Elephas maximus indicus: one gene and its partner. The protein of the gene in region 2 purifies or fractionates together with the protein of the main gene of each other region. This does not show direct contact. Links are inferred from orthologs where the notes say so. Each region holds a gene or a part of one and is shown on either strand. Other genes may lie near its edges.

What was found. The genes of interacting proteins can lie anywhere in the genome.
Region 1: the proteins of HDAC4 (region 2) and RUNX2 purify together in Homo sapiens (affinity purification with western blotting; 3 studies listed by BioGRID). This does not show direct contact. The link is inferred for Elephas maximus indicus from reciprocal best matches to the Homo sapiens genes HDAC4 and RUNX2.

What each region holds. Positions count from the first base shown.
Region 1 is NC_064819.1:109,903,921-109,912,156, forward strand, and holds the start of RUNX2 (runt-related transcription factor 2), read left to right. Parts: upstream 1-4,918; 5' UTR 4,919-4,933; coding exon 4,934-4,991; intron 4,992-8,236. UniProt on the Homo sapiens protein: Transcription factor involved in osteoblastic differentiation and skeletal morphogenesis. Essential for the maturation of osteoblasts and both intramembranous and endochondral ossification.
Region 2 is NC_064824.1:141,302,493-141,310,898, reverse strand, and holds the start of HDAC4 (histone deacetylase 4), read left to right. Parts: upstream 1-5,323; 5' UTR 5,324-5,827; coding exon 5,828-5,975; intron 5,976-8,406. UniProt on the Homo sapiens protein: Responsible for the deacetylation of lysine residues on the N-terminal part of the core histones (H2A, H2B, H3 and H4).

The sequences.
Region 1 (8,236 bases), on a different chromosome or scaffold from region 2:
TGTCCTTTTGTTCCTTTTCCAGAAGTTAATACCCAAAAACGTTTTCATTATGAGACAGTTTCCCCTACAACCAAGTCCCATAGCACAAACTCTGTGACAAAGTTTCGGCTGAGCTCCAACGTGCTATGATGTCCCAGTTTCATTTACTATATTCTGTAAGTACAAAAGTTCTAAAAAGATTAGTTTCACTTTTCCCTAGATATATTTAGTATCATTAACTAGCATAGTTGGGATATTATTTTTCTTTGGTTTTGTCAGTAGCATGTTTGATATAAATTTTATTAAGTGGTAGTGTATGTAACATTGCATTGTGGGTAGTAGTTTCCTGCTTTAGCCTAGCCACATCCTCAGCTGTCATACGAGCATGTTTCCCATATTTTCTGCAAGTTCTCGCCTTTTTTTTTCCTACTTGCGGAAATGACAGCATTAGAAGATGAATTGTCCCAATAATTATAAGAAACATAAATTACTTATATGGCTATATTAAACAAGTATGGATCACTCTGCACTTCAAAGTACAGTCAGAGAAAAAAGAAACAAAAACTAATCTCATAATTAAAGTGTTAATGACACATGAAGCAACGTGCTAAAGCAAAATAACATAAAGGAAGGATTCAAGGACCAAGTGAAAACAATTAAAAGAAAGAAAATCTTTGTAGACAGAAGCCAACACAATGCCCACACACGCCTAACAAATGAGGTATAATATATCAGAACGTAACAATAAGTTGCAATGAATGTTATGAGCTTCTAACCTGCTAGGTATTCATTAGAAGGATTAATGTCAATATCCCTTACTAGAATTTTAAGAATCTACTTTGAGACTTTATAAAAAAGTCAGAGAAAAGAGAAACAAACAAACAAAAAGGCCGAAGTACAGTGAAGGGGGAGAGAGAACAGAAAGTTAGTTTAGTACTTTCTCTTTTGGCATCCAATTTCCACATAATCTCACATTTAAACTGAGATTAACAATTAACCAAGTCAAACGGTTCAAACAATCAAGGAAATGGTGATGCTTTGGGATTTTATAAATTTAATTAAAATAGAAACAAAAAATACTCCCATAAAAATTGCTACAAAGCATCGCCCTACGCACAACCACCACCACACACGTGTGTGCAGTTCTGTATGCAGGCATACACCTCACTAAAATAAGGAAATGGAATTAATCTCTTGTAATCATAATTTAAAATACTAACAAAACTATACTTATTTTACTAATATAAAAAATTTACAAGGCATCAATATAAGGCCCAATAAATGCTATGTAAGTTTGAGCAGCTATATATCAAAAATAAAAATAAAAAATAAACTGTCACATACCAAATTGAAACAATAAATTAAAAAACTTTTGCGAAAACCTCATAATCAGTGAGAACATATTAAGCCAAATTAAGACTCCTATAGTTTATAAAATTCCCACATCAAGGCTTCTGCTCCTATTGTTTTCAATTAAAAGAAAAAGACACTGGTGACAAATAGAACTCTAACACAATCCTAAAAACAGATAAACAAAAAGCACGGAAACAAGAACGATATTGGTAAAGGAAAAGTAGTGTATTAAAATACTATCGTTAGTTCAGGAAAAAAATTCAAATGGTAACAATGAAGACATACGTAGCACTTAAAGCAGTTTATAATGTATTATTTGTAAACGTTTTGGTATCTTAAAAATTTCAACCAATTCTGACAACGTTTATTAAATACAAAGTAATGGGGAAGCAAGACACTAACTTTTTGACTTTTTGCAGTAAGCTGTATCTCATTTCCGTAACATTAAAGAACATAATTTACACAGTAGACCTAAACTTGCTGCTTACTTAAACATAGCAGATGCTAACATACCTCCAGCAGGATGAAGTTGTGAAGGTCTTAAAAAACAAACAAACAAAAAAAGTCCTGTGGTTTTCATTTGTGATTACAAACATGGATACAAATCTATAATCAAGAGGTTTATTTGCACATTAGCTTTTCTGAATCAATCTCTCTTCATCACACGTAACAAGCTATTTTGAATGAAACAAACTGTCAATTATCAAATGCGTACCAGTTATCAGTGTTGTTTTAAAATTTCTACCACAAAAAAAGATATATTTTCAATTTAGGAAAAAAAAATTATGTGTGGATAATAAATATGCAAACTTTAAAACACATAATTTCGCTATCTTTCTCCTGCCAGGCTGTGATCGGCCTCACGCAAGACCAAAAGGAAAGGACCTATTAAACAATATCTACCAAACTCTTCTGCATTGAGTGATGATTCTGACCCAAAGATTTTGTGCAGGAGGGTAACCTGCAATAAGAGAACAAGTAATTAGAAGGCACATTGATGTTAAAAATTACTCCAGTTTTCATGGACCAAAGTATACATAAGACAAAAAGAAAATAAGGAAGAAAATACTCAGCAAAAAGTTGGGGTTGTCTGAATGTCAGAGAACCCTGATGCATAAACAAAAACCTTATCCTAAAGGAAGAAAATCATTTACTTATCAAACTACAGCAGTTACCCAAAATTTTCAATTGCCTCACTCTGCTATTACATGTGCAGAAGAGTTTAAACTTCCATAAATTATGAACAAAACCCTTCTTTTATTTACTTTAGATACTAATTAGATATATAGATCATACCAGCACCTTATTTATGAAATAGAATACCCAAATAATTTATTTTCTCCCTTTTACGTGAATAAGTGTGTTAAATGAAAATTGTTGCTTCTCGATATAAAACCTGATTATACACAAAATCAGCAGGATAAATATGTGCTTAAAAGAAATCATTAAAATGTATGAAAAAGCTCTGGACATTTGAAAAAGAGATTAAAATAATTCCTGTGTCATCCCAGCATGTTTTGGACAAATCAAAAATTTTTGTAAAGAAATTTATGGACATATTTGTACAGCAATAGCAGATAATGAACTGTGCTAAGAACACCACGTGCAGGGGTATTTTAGCTCTAACACCCTCCTGAGTATTTCCCCAGCCCTTATTATCCCATTGTACACCCCCAAAAATGTTTTGTAACTCACTGTCTCCGCCCATTCTCCAAGTCATTGACTTCACGCCACTCCTAGTTACTATCACACTAGGAAGAAGTCTAACAACTGAACACACGCAAGTTCAGTGTGGCGTGGATAAATCGCAAAAATGCCTAGAAAATTGGTATGTTCGGCTTTATAATTTTTGTTGAAAAATACCCCTCGCTCTCAATTGATGAAAACAGGAAGCCCTATTCATAAATATAAATTTCACTGCCTATGATATACAATCATCCTAATAAGAAAATGAGTTCTATACATACATGTCCAAAGGGGCAAAAAAGGAGATAGTTTCCCAAAGATGTTTCCAATTTTCTTCTGAATCAGAATTAGCAAATCGAGACGACTAACATACTCTGTCTGTGTGCATTATTCCTCACTACACACAGCATTTTGTAATTTATTTCAAAGCTTCCATTATAAACAAAAAATTCAGCTTCTCTTAACCCACTCCATCCTGAGCATATAAAGTCTAACACTGAACAATCTAAGTCATAATGTAAGTATTTTACTTTATGAATGCATAAGATTTGCTATCAAAGACTCTGTTAAAGTTAATGGCGCCAAATAAACTGAAGAATTCTACAAAATGAATGCATTTCCTTGAAAGATAATAATTGTACTACAAGCATAAAGAAAACTAAGACTCATTCAATAAACTATCTTACAATTCTTGCCATTCATTTTTATAAAACCCTCAAATTAGTTGTGACGTAAAAGTATATGTGATGTTACAGTCAATCTTTATTGTAGAGACGTTGCCATCTAATATTGATAATCCATAAGCTATACAGACATAAATTAATATTTGTAAAGGTATCTCCAGACTAACACTTTCATGACAGCCAATTACAGTCCAGCCCAGCAAGCAGTTCACAACCAGACCTTAAGAAAGGTAAACTTTTTTTTTTTTTACAATGAGTTACAGACTCACAAGTTTAAGAAAAAGAAAAACAGAAGGAATCCAGCCACCCAGCAAATATGAAGCAGACCCCAGAATGTGATACAATCCAAAGATGTAAATTATTGTAAATCATCACTGTTGTTCAGAATTTCGCACAGCCACTTGAGCCAAATTTTGCTCACTCTTCCACAGACACAATAATAAACTAAAAGGAGGAGGCAAAAAAAAAAGGGGGCGGGTGGGGGGGTGGGGTGGTAGGAAGGAAAGAACAGAGTTCTGCTCTACAGATGCTTAACCTTACAGGAGTTTGGGCTCCTTCAGCATTTGTATTCTATCCAAATCCTCATGAGTCACAAAAATTAAAAAGCTATATCCTTCTGGATGCCAGGAAGGGCCTTACCACAAGCCTTTTGTCAGAGAGAGAGAGAGAGAAAGAGAGCAAGAGCAAGGGGGAAAAAGCCACAGTGGTAGGCAGTCCCACTTTACTTTGAGTTCTGTGAGGTCACAAACCACATGATTCTGTCTCTCCAGTAATAGTGCTTGCAAAAAAAAGGAGTTTTAAAGCTTTTGCTTTTTTGGATTGTGTGAATGCTTCATTCGCCTCACAAACAACCACAGAACCACAAGTGCGGTGCAAACTTTCTCCAGGAGGACAGCAAGAAGTCTCTGGTTTTTAAATGGTTAATCTCCGCAGGTCACTACCAGCCACCGAGACCAACAGAGTCAGTGAGTGCTCTCAAACCACAGTCTATGCAGTAATAGTAGGGCCTTCAAATATTTGCTCATTCTCTTTTTGTTTTGTTTCCCTGCTTTTCACATGTTACCAGCGACATAATTTCTTGACAGAAAAAAATAAATAGAAAGTCTATGTACTCCAGGCATACTGTAAAACTAAAACAAGATTTGGGTATGGTTTGTGTTTTCAGTTTAAGGCTACAAGCAGTATTTACAACAGAGGGTACAAGTTCTATCTGAAAAAAAAAAGGAGGGACTATGGCATCAAACAGCCTCTTCAGCACTGTGACACCATGTCAGCAAAACTTCTTTTGGGGTAAGTGTTATCATATTTTAAAATACTATAAGAGATGAACCTGTTAAACATAAAGCTATATGTCTTAGATAAAGTGCTAGCTCTTGAAGGTAACAGTATATTAAAGATCAAAATAATGCTGTATTGTTGCACTAAAATACTAAAAGATGAAATTGCTATACATATTTGCATTTGGCATCTGCCACTTATCTAATTCTCAGAGTAATGGCTTGAAATATTCAAAAATAAGTTACTTCGCATTAATCAAAATGTCTTCTAGAGTTATGGAAATGAGAATGCTAAAACAGTAAAAAGAAACAGCTTAATATTGTCTTTAACCCTCACTGGAATAAAACTAGACACTAAGTTAATCAAAGTATTATAAATTATTGACTCCGGCGGCTCCCAATATTTGAGCAAACTTCAAAAAGGAAGCAATTTTACAAAATAACAGACCACAGAATTATCCCAACATTATGCTCTACCATGCAAAACAGAAATAAGCCTACAGTTAACATTTGAACCAGCTCGACTAAAAGAAATCTATTTACAATTTTAAACTGCTTTATAAGGTATCTGCACAAGTCTATTTCTAAACAGCTTTATAAAACTGAAGCATATATTCAACTGAAATAAAATTATAGGTATACAATAACCATTTTTAAAAGATCTTTACAGTTGCCTAGAATATTAAAAAGTTCAGAGAAGTCTTTAAAAAATTACATGCAATTGTGTTTCCTATATAATTTTATTTTTACATCTAGACACTATTATCCATTTGTAGAACTTGTTATAAACACATAACAAACACTGAAACGTCTAAGATTCTTTTAATCACATTCTTGGACCTACCAAAATGAATACCATTTAGTCTCATGAAAAATAAAGCTCCGTAAGGATACCCTGCTTGATTTAAAAGAGCCATACCTATTAAATCAAGCTGGATTTTAAAACATGCATAATATAATCCCTTAATACCTAATTTCAAGTTAGTGTTGATACAGATATGTAAACTATTTTAACATCTGTCTGCTGCCATGGTATTATAGTAAAAATCTAAGCACTTACAAGATTTTCTTTATGATGTCCAACATGCTCCAACTATAATGCAAGTTTCTAAAATTTTCTTACATCCTTTAAAATAAATCCTTTTGCTGTGTATACCTATATTAACATTGCTTTGTAACTTACAACTAATGATTGGGGTTTCCTTTACTCCTCCTACTTCACACACATTTTAACTGGCTACTACTTGAGGATCAGTCTTAGTTTAGGTCAAAGAGAAATAATTAAATCTGAAGGGGGGAAAAAGGGTTTCTTTTAAACAGCGAGGAAGTGTACTTTGTATATTACAAAAAATGTAAAATTATTGTAGTGACCTCCTCAATAACCATAAGTGGACCCCCTCAGTTATAATGCATACAATAATCACAAATTATTTTTTAAATGTAATGGTGGGTTTTAAGCATTAATCTAAAAACTTCTATATTAAGAGAGCAGAACATAAATACAACTAGACTGTACTACATCTTATAATTACAGCTTATACATGGGAATTTTTAGTCTTATTACCCAAGAGATGAGAGGAAAAAAATGGTTAAAATCATTGTCATATAGAGAGATAACAAAACAGGCATATCAAGCAGTTAATTTTTAACAATATTACTCTATTAAAGAGAAAAAAAAATACACTTTTCTAACTATATTGGGAGCACCACGAGTTCCAGGGAATACTCCAGCACTAGAAGTAAAGCTATTATTATTGACAGAGAGAGTAAGTTAAAATGGTCTTATATTTTCTATCAGGTGTCTTATATTTCCCTGACATTTTAATAACCATTTTTACATTAAGATTTCTGAAATTTGATCAAGTTTCTACACAAGGGATAATAGTGAACTGAGCAGATAAAGGTCATCTTCAATTGCCTGTCATACTTTTGACTAAACATTGCAAGGAATCTTTTTTCTTCTGAAAGGCGGATTTCACTCCCCCTTCTGCCACCACAGTGCCTTAGAGCCTGGATAGAGAACTTAACATGAACCCCCAGACCAACCTAATTACAGGGTGGGCAAGGGACATTATGTATAGGTTATCATCACACTGCAAACATTTTCCCATTCTATAATCTATTTGAAGTCTAAAACTTCACTTCAGGTTTTAAATTCTTATATGATGATTATAACCATCAACAATGAAATGTCAAAAGCACGTGCCCCGGCTTTGTGAAGTAGTTAAAAAGAAAGCTTAGGCTTTTCCTAGGTGAGGGACAAAGCATACCGTTGACTGACAGCCTCTCCTTAAATATAATGAAGTGTGTAGTGCGTGCATGTGTGTGTGTGTGCGCGCGCGCACATGAGAAAGATAAAATCTGTGTCCTTGCTCCTCCAGAATACCATTTACCTTGAATTAATCAATAATTTTCAAAATCTGTGAGCTACTCAAAATGTTATTTATCATAAACAAAAGCTATAGAAAATGATAGATGTGACTCATGTAGTTCTACAATTAAGAACTTATTTATGAAATGGTATCATCTAACTAATTAAATTTCTACATAAAATCTTTGTATCTGACCGTAGTAATTGACTGCAAATGATGTGTGAACACTGATTTCCGAAACAATAGTTGTGGTCCATATTAGTAATAATAGCTTTATACTGTCAAGATTTACTAGTGATAAAGTGTCCTAACTTGCTCCTAAAATAAGAGTGCTACATTCCAAAATAACAGGGAAAAGAATTAAAAAGTCAAGAACATAATGAGAAGGCTACTCTACATATATTAAAAGCTAGCAATGTCAACACAATTCCCAAAAACTTGTATTGTAAATATTTTAATTTATAATAATCCTAATTTTTAAAGAAAAATTGTTCACTTTTAAATTTTAAAAATATTTTAAAATGTCAAAGATTTAAAAGAAATAACAGGGAAAAAATTTTGTTAGTCTGTGTAAATCACAAGAAAGGCGTGAAAGTCTTTAAATCACAAGGAGGGCATGAAATATACATGATTACATTAAGATACATTTTAGCTCTTTTAAAAGAACAAAAATTAATCTATTCAATTACACCCTTCAAGCTAATCACTGATAGTCTGACTTGTTTAAATCAGTCATGCTAAAGCTAAATTCAGTAAGATAGAAATGTTCCAGTTTGTTAACAGAACAGTGAAATATTTGATGGTTAAATAAACTGCAGAGGGGGGAAAAGCTAACTCACTGAAGGCACTAAGATTTTATCAAACACACAGAATTAATCCTTATTGA
Region 2 (8,406 bases):
TGTGGCGGGGCAGGCGTGTGTCATGGGCCCCCCGTCCTCCGTGTGGGTGGAACGGGGACTCACATAGACCCTTAGGGCTTGGTGTCCTGTCAGTTCTTCGACACAGATGCTGGCACGCGCGTGTTCCTATTTCTCGGATGTCCAGAGAGAGGTGCTCAGTGCTGTGTTGTCTGTGGGTCAAGTCAGCTGGTGCTGGCTAAGAGCGCTTGACCCAAACTTGACGTGTGCTGCCCGAATGCCAGAAGTGTGTGTCCCATGAGCCCAGGAGTAGGGGAGCACGGGACGGGTGGGCCATCACGCCTGGCTCGAGGCTGGGACTGGTCGCCTGCCTCTATGAGAGGTGCTTTCTTCGTGAAGTGGAACCTGGTACCACTCGACCTGGCAGAGAACCACAGCTTGAATTGTGTCGCCCAAAAGGTACGTCCAGGTCTGGACCCTGCACCTGTGCCACGTTTGGAAAGAGGGTCTTTGACGATGCTGCCAGTTAACTTGAGGTCGAACTGGAGGAAGGTGGGCCCTAACCCCTTCTGAGTGGGGTCTGACAGAAGAGGAGAGGAAACATGGAGACAGGCAGACAGACAGACATAAAGTCCAGGAGGCCATGTGAAGATAGAGGCTGAGGTGGGGGTGACGCAGCCACAAGCCCAGGGACGCCTGCGTCACCAGCAGCTGAGCAATAAGGAAGGACCTTCCCTCAGAGCCTCTGGAGAGCACGACCCTGCCGTCGCCTTAAGTTCAGACTCCTGGCCTTCGAGCTGCCACAGAACATGCCTCTGTTGTTCTGTGCCACCTACTTTGTGGTGCTTTGTTTCGGCGGCCCTCGCAGACCGATACAGTGGCTATGTAGGCTGTCTTGGCCACTTAGTGCATCCTTTCCCAGTGTGATTTTCTTTTTTTTTGGTAGTACGTGTCAGCGCTGTTGGGATCTGTTACAGCCACGATTGGGGGTTGGTTTTCAATTCCTCCTGACAGAGGTTCCTTCTCTCGTCAGTGGCTTGTTGATTAAGACGGAGGTGAGCAGTACCAGTGACCGCAGCTTCTCCTCCAGGGCCTCAGGTCCCAGGCGCCGCTTCCCGGGGCAGGCAGCCAGCAGAGTGAAGCTGCAGGTTAGACACCACCGTGCCAGTGGGCATCTTCTTCTGGTGTGGGGAGGGGGAGAGCTGTGGAGGGCACGTGCACTACGGGCCATGTCGTGGATGGTGTCCCCACTCTGTAAACCCGGGGAGGCAGCCCCTGTGGCATTGGGATGGTACAGCAGGTGGAGCCTGCCGCCTGAGTCAGGACAGCCGCGTTGTTGCCGTGTGGCCCTGAGAACACTGTCTGAGCCTCTGAGCCTCTGTGGTGTTGTTGGGCAGCGGAGCTGATGCCAGCTTGTGGGTTGCTGGGAGATGTGAGAACTGCTGGGACAGCCAGTGGGCACAGGTAGGCTCCCAGGGTTCGCGCTGGTGAGTCTTTCAGTTGGGGGCTCCAGGGGACATGTGGAGAAGGTGCCATTGGGGCAGTCCCTCTGTGCTCACTTGTCCTCGGCTTTTCCCAAAGTGCACTGCTTAGCTGGGCCTGTGGTCACACGTGCCTGGGCCTGCAGTGTTGGATGGCCACCACGTGTGTACTCCCCAGCTTGCTCGGGCTCCCAGAGGGCCAGTCCCTGGCCGAGAGCTCTTGGGCCGGCAGTGACCACAGAGGCTTCTGTGCAGGGGCAAGGCTGAGGGGCCCTGCCTGGAGATGGGTAAGCAAAGTCCTCATCCCACCCTGCATCACCCAGGGCTTAGTGAGAGAAAGGCTGTCCCAGAGGGAGCCGCAGTGGTGTCCTGACCAAGCCCTGCACCTGGCCTGCAGGACATGGTGGCGCCTCTCCTTGGGGACCTGCCCCCAGGCCTCGGCTCGCAGCTCCATCCTGGTGTTTGCAAGCAAGGCCCGTGCCCTGGGGCTTCGGGGGTGCCATTCCCTCTCTTTATTCTGGAGCATACACCACCCCAGCCTACCATGTAGGAAAGCTGTCTGAGGTAGGACTGTGGCAGTGCCCCGGCCATGGCACGGGCATGGGAGCCTTCCTGGGGGCTTCCCCATTGGTGCTGGGGGAGACGGCCTGCCTCATCTGGTGGCTTAGCCAGTGGGGTGCAGGTGTAGGAGCTGCGGCCTCCATTGTGGGTGCAGAGGAAGAGGAAGGAGGGGTGAGAGACAGGTGGGTGGCCATCACTGGCCCTCTGGCTTTTGACCTTTGGTGGTCCCCTAGGCTCCTGAGTGAAGAGGCTACCAGGGGCCCCTTCTCAGGAGCAGTAGGGGAGCTGGGGAAGAGCATTTGAGCTGCTCTCACTCCCCAGGAGCGGAATTTGCTTTTCCATCATCTCTCACCACCTCTCAGCCACGTTCTGGGCTTGGGCTGGAATCTCCCCACCCCGCTGGTTTAGACACATGTGGCTGATGCTGACGTGTGTCCGCCAGGCTTACAAACCTTGATTTGCCTTTATGGGAGGGGTGGGATCCTTTTCTTTGGTTTGACTGCTCAGGACTGATACCCTCAGAGAGCAGGGCCAGCGCCGAGCAGGCGCACGGTGGACAGAAGTGCGGTAACCTCCCAGGGGTGGGAAACCAGCCTGTCTCAGGCTGAAAGGCCGCAGGCATCACCCTAGGGTTTGGAAGGGTGCTCATAGCAGGTGACAGGATGATGGCTCCGTGCTGGCTGAAGAATGTGGCTCAGACAGGCTGACGTCAGCTTTGTCCTAGGGCTTGTCACTGGATGTGGATGCCACCTAAGTCAGAGGCCAGGCTGTGGAGACAGGGTTCAGCATTTCATCCTGTGTCTCTTTTAGAGGAAGGGTGTTGGCATGGTGATGAGGGCCACCTTCAATGGTTCCTGGGCCCAGTGCGCCTGGCTGTGGACATCTGTGCAGTGACACGAGCACTGCTTGCTACCCCTTCCCATGGGCCCTGCTTTAACTCCATCAGCACAACAGGAAGAGAACACACATGTCTGCAGAGAGGGACCCAGCTTAGGGAAGTGATGTTCCAGGCTACTAAATGAAAAACAAACAAACAAACAAAAAAACAAACCCATTGCCATCAAGTCGATTCCGACTGATAGCGACCCTGTAGGACAGAGTAGAACTGCCCCATAAGGTTTCCAAGGAACGCCTGGTGGATTCAAACTGCAGATTTTGGTTAGCAGCTATAGCTTTTAACCACTATGCTGCCAGGGTTTCCAAAGGAGTCCCCATATAGTTCTACTGGGGCTTGAACCCAGGACCTTCTGCGTGTAAAGCAGACGTGATAACTGCTACACTATGGAATTGCTTAAATGAAAGGGTATGTTAAAGGATGAAGAAGAGTTGCCTGTTGGTTGAGGGTGTCCAGCTGGCTGGGTGGCATGTGGGGCCTGAGTTTGGAGGGTCTGTACACTCTCGGGCGTGCTCTGTGAAGCCAGCTCGGCTCTGAGCCCTGTCCTTGTGCGTACGCTGGCTCAGCCTTCAGTGTCCAGGTCCTCCTTTGTTTTGGGCACCTGTCTGCTGATGCCACCTGCACCTTTGCCTTCTCACCCTGTAAGGGCCAGAGAGAAGGGCATAACCAAGCTCCTAGTGACGGGCAGCCGCTGGCTGCCCGTGTCCTGGTGTATGCTCTCCATCTGCTCCGAAGTTCCACCCCACACTGCCCGCAGGACTCAAGCTAAGTGGCATCTCCTAGCGAGGACTTCCCTCCACCCAAGCCTCGTGTTCTTGGTGGGCAGTACTCTCTCCTGTAGATAAACTTTCATTCTTGTTGAGTGCCGCACGTGCATGGCTTTTCCTCAGTGAGCATCCCCAGGCCCTGGTTCAGGAGGAGAGTCAGCTGACCACCACGCTGGCTCTGGAGTTGAGTGTGCTCTCACAGAGCCCTGGACCACTGTGGGGCTTGGGCTCCCACCCACGTCGGGGACAAGAACTGGCCCCAGGTCCGTGGACGCTTCGGTTTCCCCCTCATCCGTCGGCCCTCATGCTCCAGGGCATCAGTAAGGAGATGTTGTCAGAGGCCTGTCTCTCACGGATGGAACTGTTCACTTGGCTGAAATGATTGCTCTGGACTGTGCGCCCCGGGGTTTCGCTTCTGACCACCTGCCGCATGTGACACCTAAGGTACCTGGCTCCTCAGGTCGTCACTGCCACTGTGGGAGCAGGCTGTCTTGACTGAAGACAGTGGCCACTCGTACATGGAATGCTACTCAGCCGTGAAGAGCGAATGAACCTGTGCTGAGCAGGGCAGTGGATGCTTGCACACGGGATGCTTCTCGTGTGGGATGCTGCCGATGTGTGGAATACCACTCAGACGTGGGAAGCAGCACACACGTGGGACGCCGCCCACGGGTGAAACGCCGCGCACACGTGGGACGCCACTCACGGGTGGAACGCCGCACACACGTGGGACGCCACTCACGGGTGGAACGCCGCGCACACGTGGGACGCCACTCACGGGTGGAACGCCGCTCCCACGTGGGACGCCACTCACGGGTGGAACGCCGCGCACACGTGGGACGCCACTCACGGGTGGAACGCCGCGCACACGTGGGACGCCACTCACAGGTGGAATACTGTGCATATGTGGGACACCACTCGTGGAATACTGCTCACACGTGGGACACCACTCACAGGTGGAATGTCGCTCACACGTGAGACGCCACTCACGGGTGGAATACTGCTCACACGTGGGACGCCGCTCACGGGTGGAATACTGCTCAATGTGGGACACCACTCATAGGTGGAATACTACCCACATGTGGGACACCACTCATAGGTGGAACACCATTCTCAGGTGGGACACCATTCACAGGTGGAATACTGCTCACACGTGGGATGCCACTCACACGTGGAATGCAGCTCACATGTGGGACACCACTCACACGTGGAATACTGCTCACATGTGGGACGCCGCTCACGTGTGGGGCGTCCCTCATGCATGGGACACTGCTCACATGTGGGATGCTGCTCCCATGTGTGACAGTGCTCACACGTGGGATCCCACTGAGCTGTGAAGAAAAATGAAGTCCTGATACATGCCACAACACAGATAACCTTATTCTGAGCAGGATGATGGCTGATCACGGAGCTCCAGGCTCCTGCCTGATGCTGGCTGGCAGTGGCGACCTGGGCCAACCCCTCCCCCGTGCCTTCAGAGGCAGCTGGTGGTATGTCTGGGAGCAGCTTCAGGAGTGCGCCAAGGGGCTGCGTGTTTCCACGTTGGCCATTGCAACATCATAGCCTGCAGTGCACGCTGGAATGTCCTACTAAACAACAACTGCCCTTACAGCTTCCCAACTAAGCTGGGGGTGGGGTGGGTAGGGCGCTTTCTTCCCAGATAAGGCTCCTCAAGTTCCTGGAATGCTTACGCCTGGGGTGGAGAAACCCTACATGACTTGAACTCTTCTTCACACGTAAGTCCCCCACGTCCCGTCCGCCGCACAGACGCCCGGCCCTTTCTGGTTGCGATCATGCAGTCAGTCAGTCCAGCCCGGAAGTGCAGTTCCCCACATCTTCTACAGCTAACAAACACCTCACTTCAGGTGCCCTAAAATCAAATTCAGGCTGCGGAGAGGTTATAGTGCTCTCAAACTTGTACGTGGAAGCAGAGGGAGAGAACTGGCCTTGTAAATGAGCGAGTGCCCCAGAAGGCGGTGCCTTGCTCCTGACCTCCAGGGCACTTGAGGTGCGAGCTGGTGGGAGCTTGGGCGACATGGCCCCGCACAAAATCGGGTTTGGCAGAACGCTCACTCATGGGCCGGAAAGTAAACAGTGGTGTCGAGCCTTCTGCGTGAGCCCGTGTATCATCTGCTTGTTATGTAATCTGACAACACGGGTATGAAATGGAAACCAGATGTCAGGGCGGAGCGCTGGAATTCTTCAGCCGTGAGTGCCGGGAGGCGGGTGTGAGTTTGCTTCTCTGTGAAGGCCCAGCAGCTCTGGGAGGGCAGGCTGGAGGGTCCTGGGAGCCAAGCAGACGTCTCGGAGAAGGTAAAGTATGAACCCGGAGTCTTTTGAAAAACGTGTGCCGCTGCTCTGTGCTTGTTACATAGCTGTGCGGGGACTCGGCACGGCGACCTGGTGGCTGGCCGTCTAGAAGCGGCTCAGAGCATGGAAACTCGGCGAGGGGCCCCTGGCATCCTGCTACTGATGGCTGGTCGCAGGGCCTGGGTTTAGAGTGAGAGGGGCATGGACGGGCACGTGCCGTTTCTCTGGTGGTGGCTGGGTTGTGTGGTGGGAGGGGTGGAAGCGCGTCATTTCGGCGCTCGCTCCTGCACACGTGCAGCTGTGGCGATAGTGGCTCCTGGCGCACAGCAGACCACAGTGCTGGGGCGCCCAGAGGCAGGGACTTGGGATTCTGCTGTGGCCAAGCCCCCTGCCAGTGGCCCTGTGGGTGCCAGAGGGTGACTGCATCTCCTCTCCTGGCCTGGCCCCTCTCGTGCTCTGTGGAACGCCCTGGGATGTGGGTCCTTGACTTGCCACATTCACGCCTTTCTGATCTAGAAAATCAGACTCACCGAGATCAGGAGCAGAGCGCCTCACCTGCTGAAGCAATGGCTAGCCACAGTGGTAGTTCCATATTTGATCTCAACTAAAACCCCAAGTGTCTCTGCTGTGGTAGCCGAGGTTTCACATCTACAGACCCCTTACTTTGCTCATATCCTCCTCTGGGAACCCTACGGGGCCGTGACCCTGTACTCCTGTTAATGCCATGCCGAATTCTTAGACACCACTCGGGTTATCCGTCCGTCCTGTTTCATTAGGCACCCAGCTCGGGGGCCAGAGGAGATCTGTGGCTCCTTCTGATCCCCTGGGTTTCCAGCTTTCTTACCTGTAAAACGATAGCTGACGAGTCTGGGGTGCTTTCTGCATGCTGGGCCTGTGCACAAAGTGTGTTAGTGCAATTTGTTACGTGATTCTCAAAACACACCCTGGAAGTAGGTGCCTTTGGGACACCATTTTACAGCAGGGAGAACTGAGGCCCAGGCAGGTTGAACGACTGGCTGAGGGTCCCACTGTTCGGGGGCTGTGCTGGCTTTGCACCCAGGCAGCATGCCCCAGAGCCACCGTGCGGCATGTCTCTGGTCTCTCCTGGCTTGTAGTTCTGGGTCCCTTGCTTCAGGGTGGACGAGGGCACTTCACCGTGCTTGCCGGTGGCCTTTGGGTGTCCAGTTTGGAGGAACCCCAGTGCCGGGGAAAGTGTAGTCCTGACGTGGGCGTGCTCCAGTCTGCAGTCCTAAGTCCTGGGCGATGTTACGCCACATGGTGACCCCGGGAAAAAGATTTGATGTGCTCCTGCGCCCTTGCTCCATTTTGCTTGTTCCGAAAGGGAACTAAAAACAAACCCAGCCCACACCGTTGGGTCAGACGGAATGTGGGAGTCAGAGACTTATCTAAGTGGAATTTCTCTTGGAGCCTTTCCTTGATCCAGAGTTGTCCTTAATGTTTTGAAAAGCACGTTAGAGATACCAGGCATGCTGAGAGGCCTGGGCGGCCACTGCTGTTCTGTGCATGAGAGGTGGGACTGCACAGACCGTCCAGAGGACACATCTGTCTGTCTTTGTGACCACCAACCCCCTCGGGCCTTGGGCAGGGTCCCAGCGGTTGGGCTGGAGCCGGGGTAGGAGGCCCCATGTGGGGATCCTTGACCTTGGAACCCCCACTCCCCATGGCATCACTTGGGAGGCTGCTGCCTGGGGAGATTTGGGCTCTGCATCCCCATGGTTCTAAATAACACCGCTTCTTGCTTCTGGACACACTCCGTCTGTCCCGAGGTCCTTCCCGCCCTGGGTGGCCATCGGGGTGCAGCCCCAGGCCTTGGGCTGGGCACCAGTGTACTTTCTCTTGCTGAATCGCTCCTGCCCGGGGCCACATGGTGGCAGGATCCAAAGTGGGGCACCCCTCATCTATTGATGGGGGTCGCCTGCGGGACCCTTGAGGCGGGGGGGTGGGGCCACTTGCTTTGCTCTTGCCACCCCCCACCCCGCCTTTATCTGCGTTTAAAAATAGGCAGGCCTGGTGCCAGGCCCAGGCTGAAGGCCACTTCTTGCCAGCCCCGAGGTGATAGGGCTGCACAGGGGGTGGAGTGAGCCAGGAGTACAGGGTGGGGGTGGCCCTCAAGGGCCCGCGGAGCCACCCAAGGCGGCCTATGGAAGTCGAGTGAGGCATCTGAGTACTTCTTTTAAATGAAGACATCTTATCCCACTTCTTTTTTGCACTGTAGTCGGGAAGGTCATGAACTGGAGTGTCAGCAGCACCAGGCCAGGTGTGCCTTGCAGAGAGGCCTAATGAGAACACGGGCGTGTGTAATGCAGGACCCTTGGAGTTTGGGTCAGGGATCAGAGCAGTGCCAAGGCTCAGCGGTGATACCTCAGCGCTTGGTCGGGAGCCTGGCCTCGGTGGCCTTTGGGTTTCCTGGCGC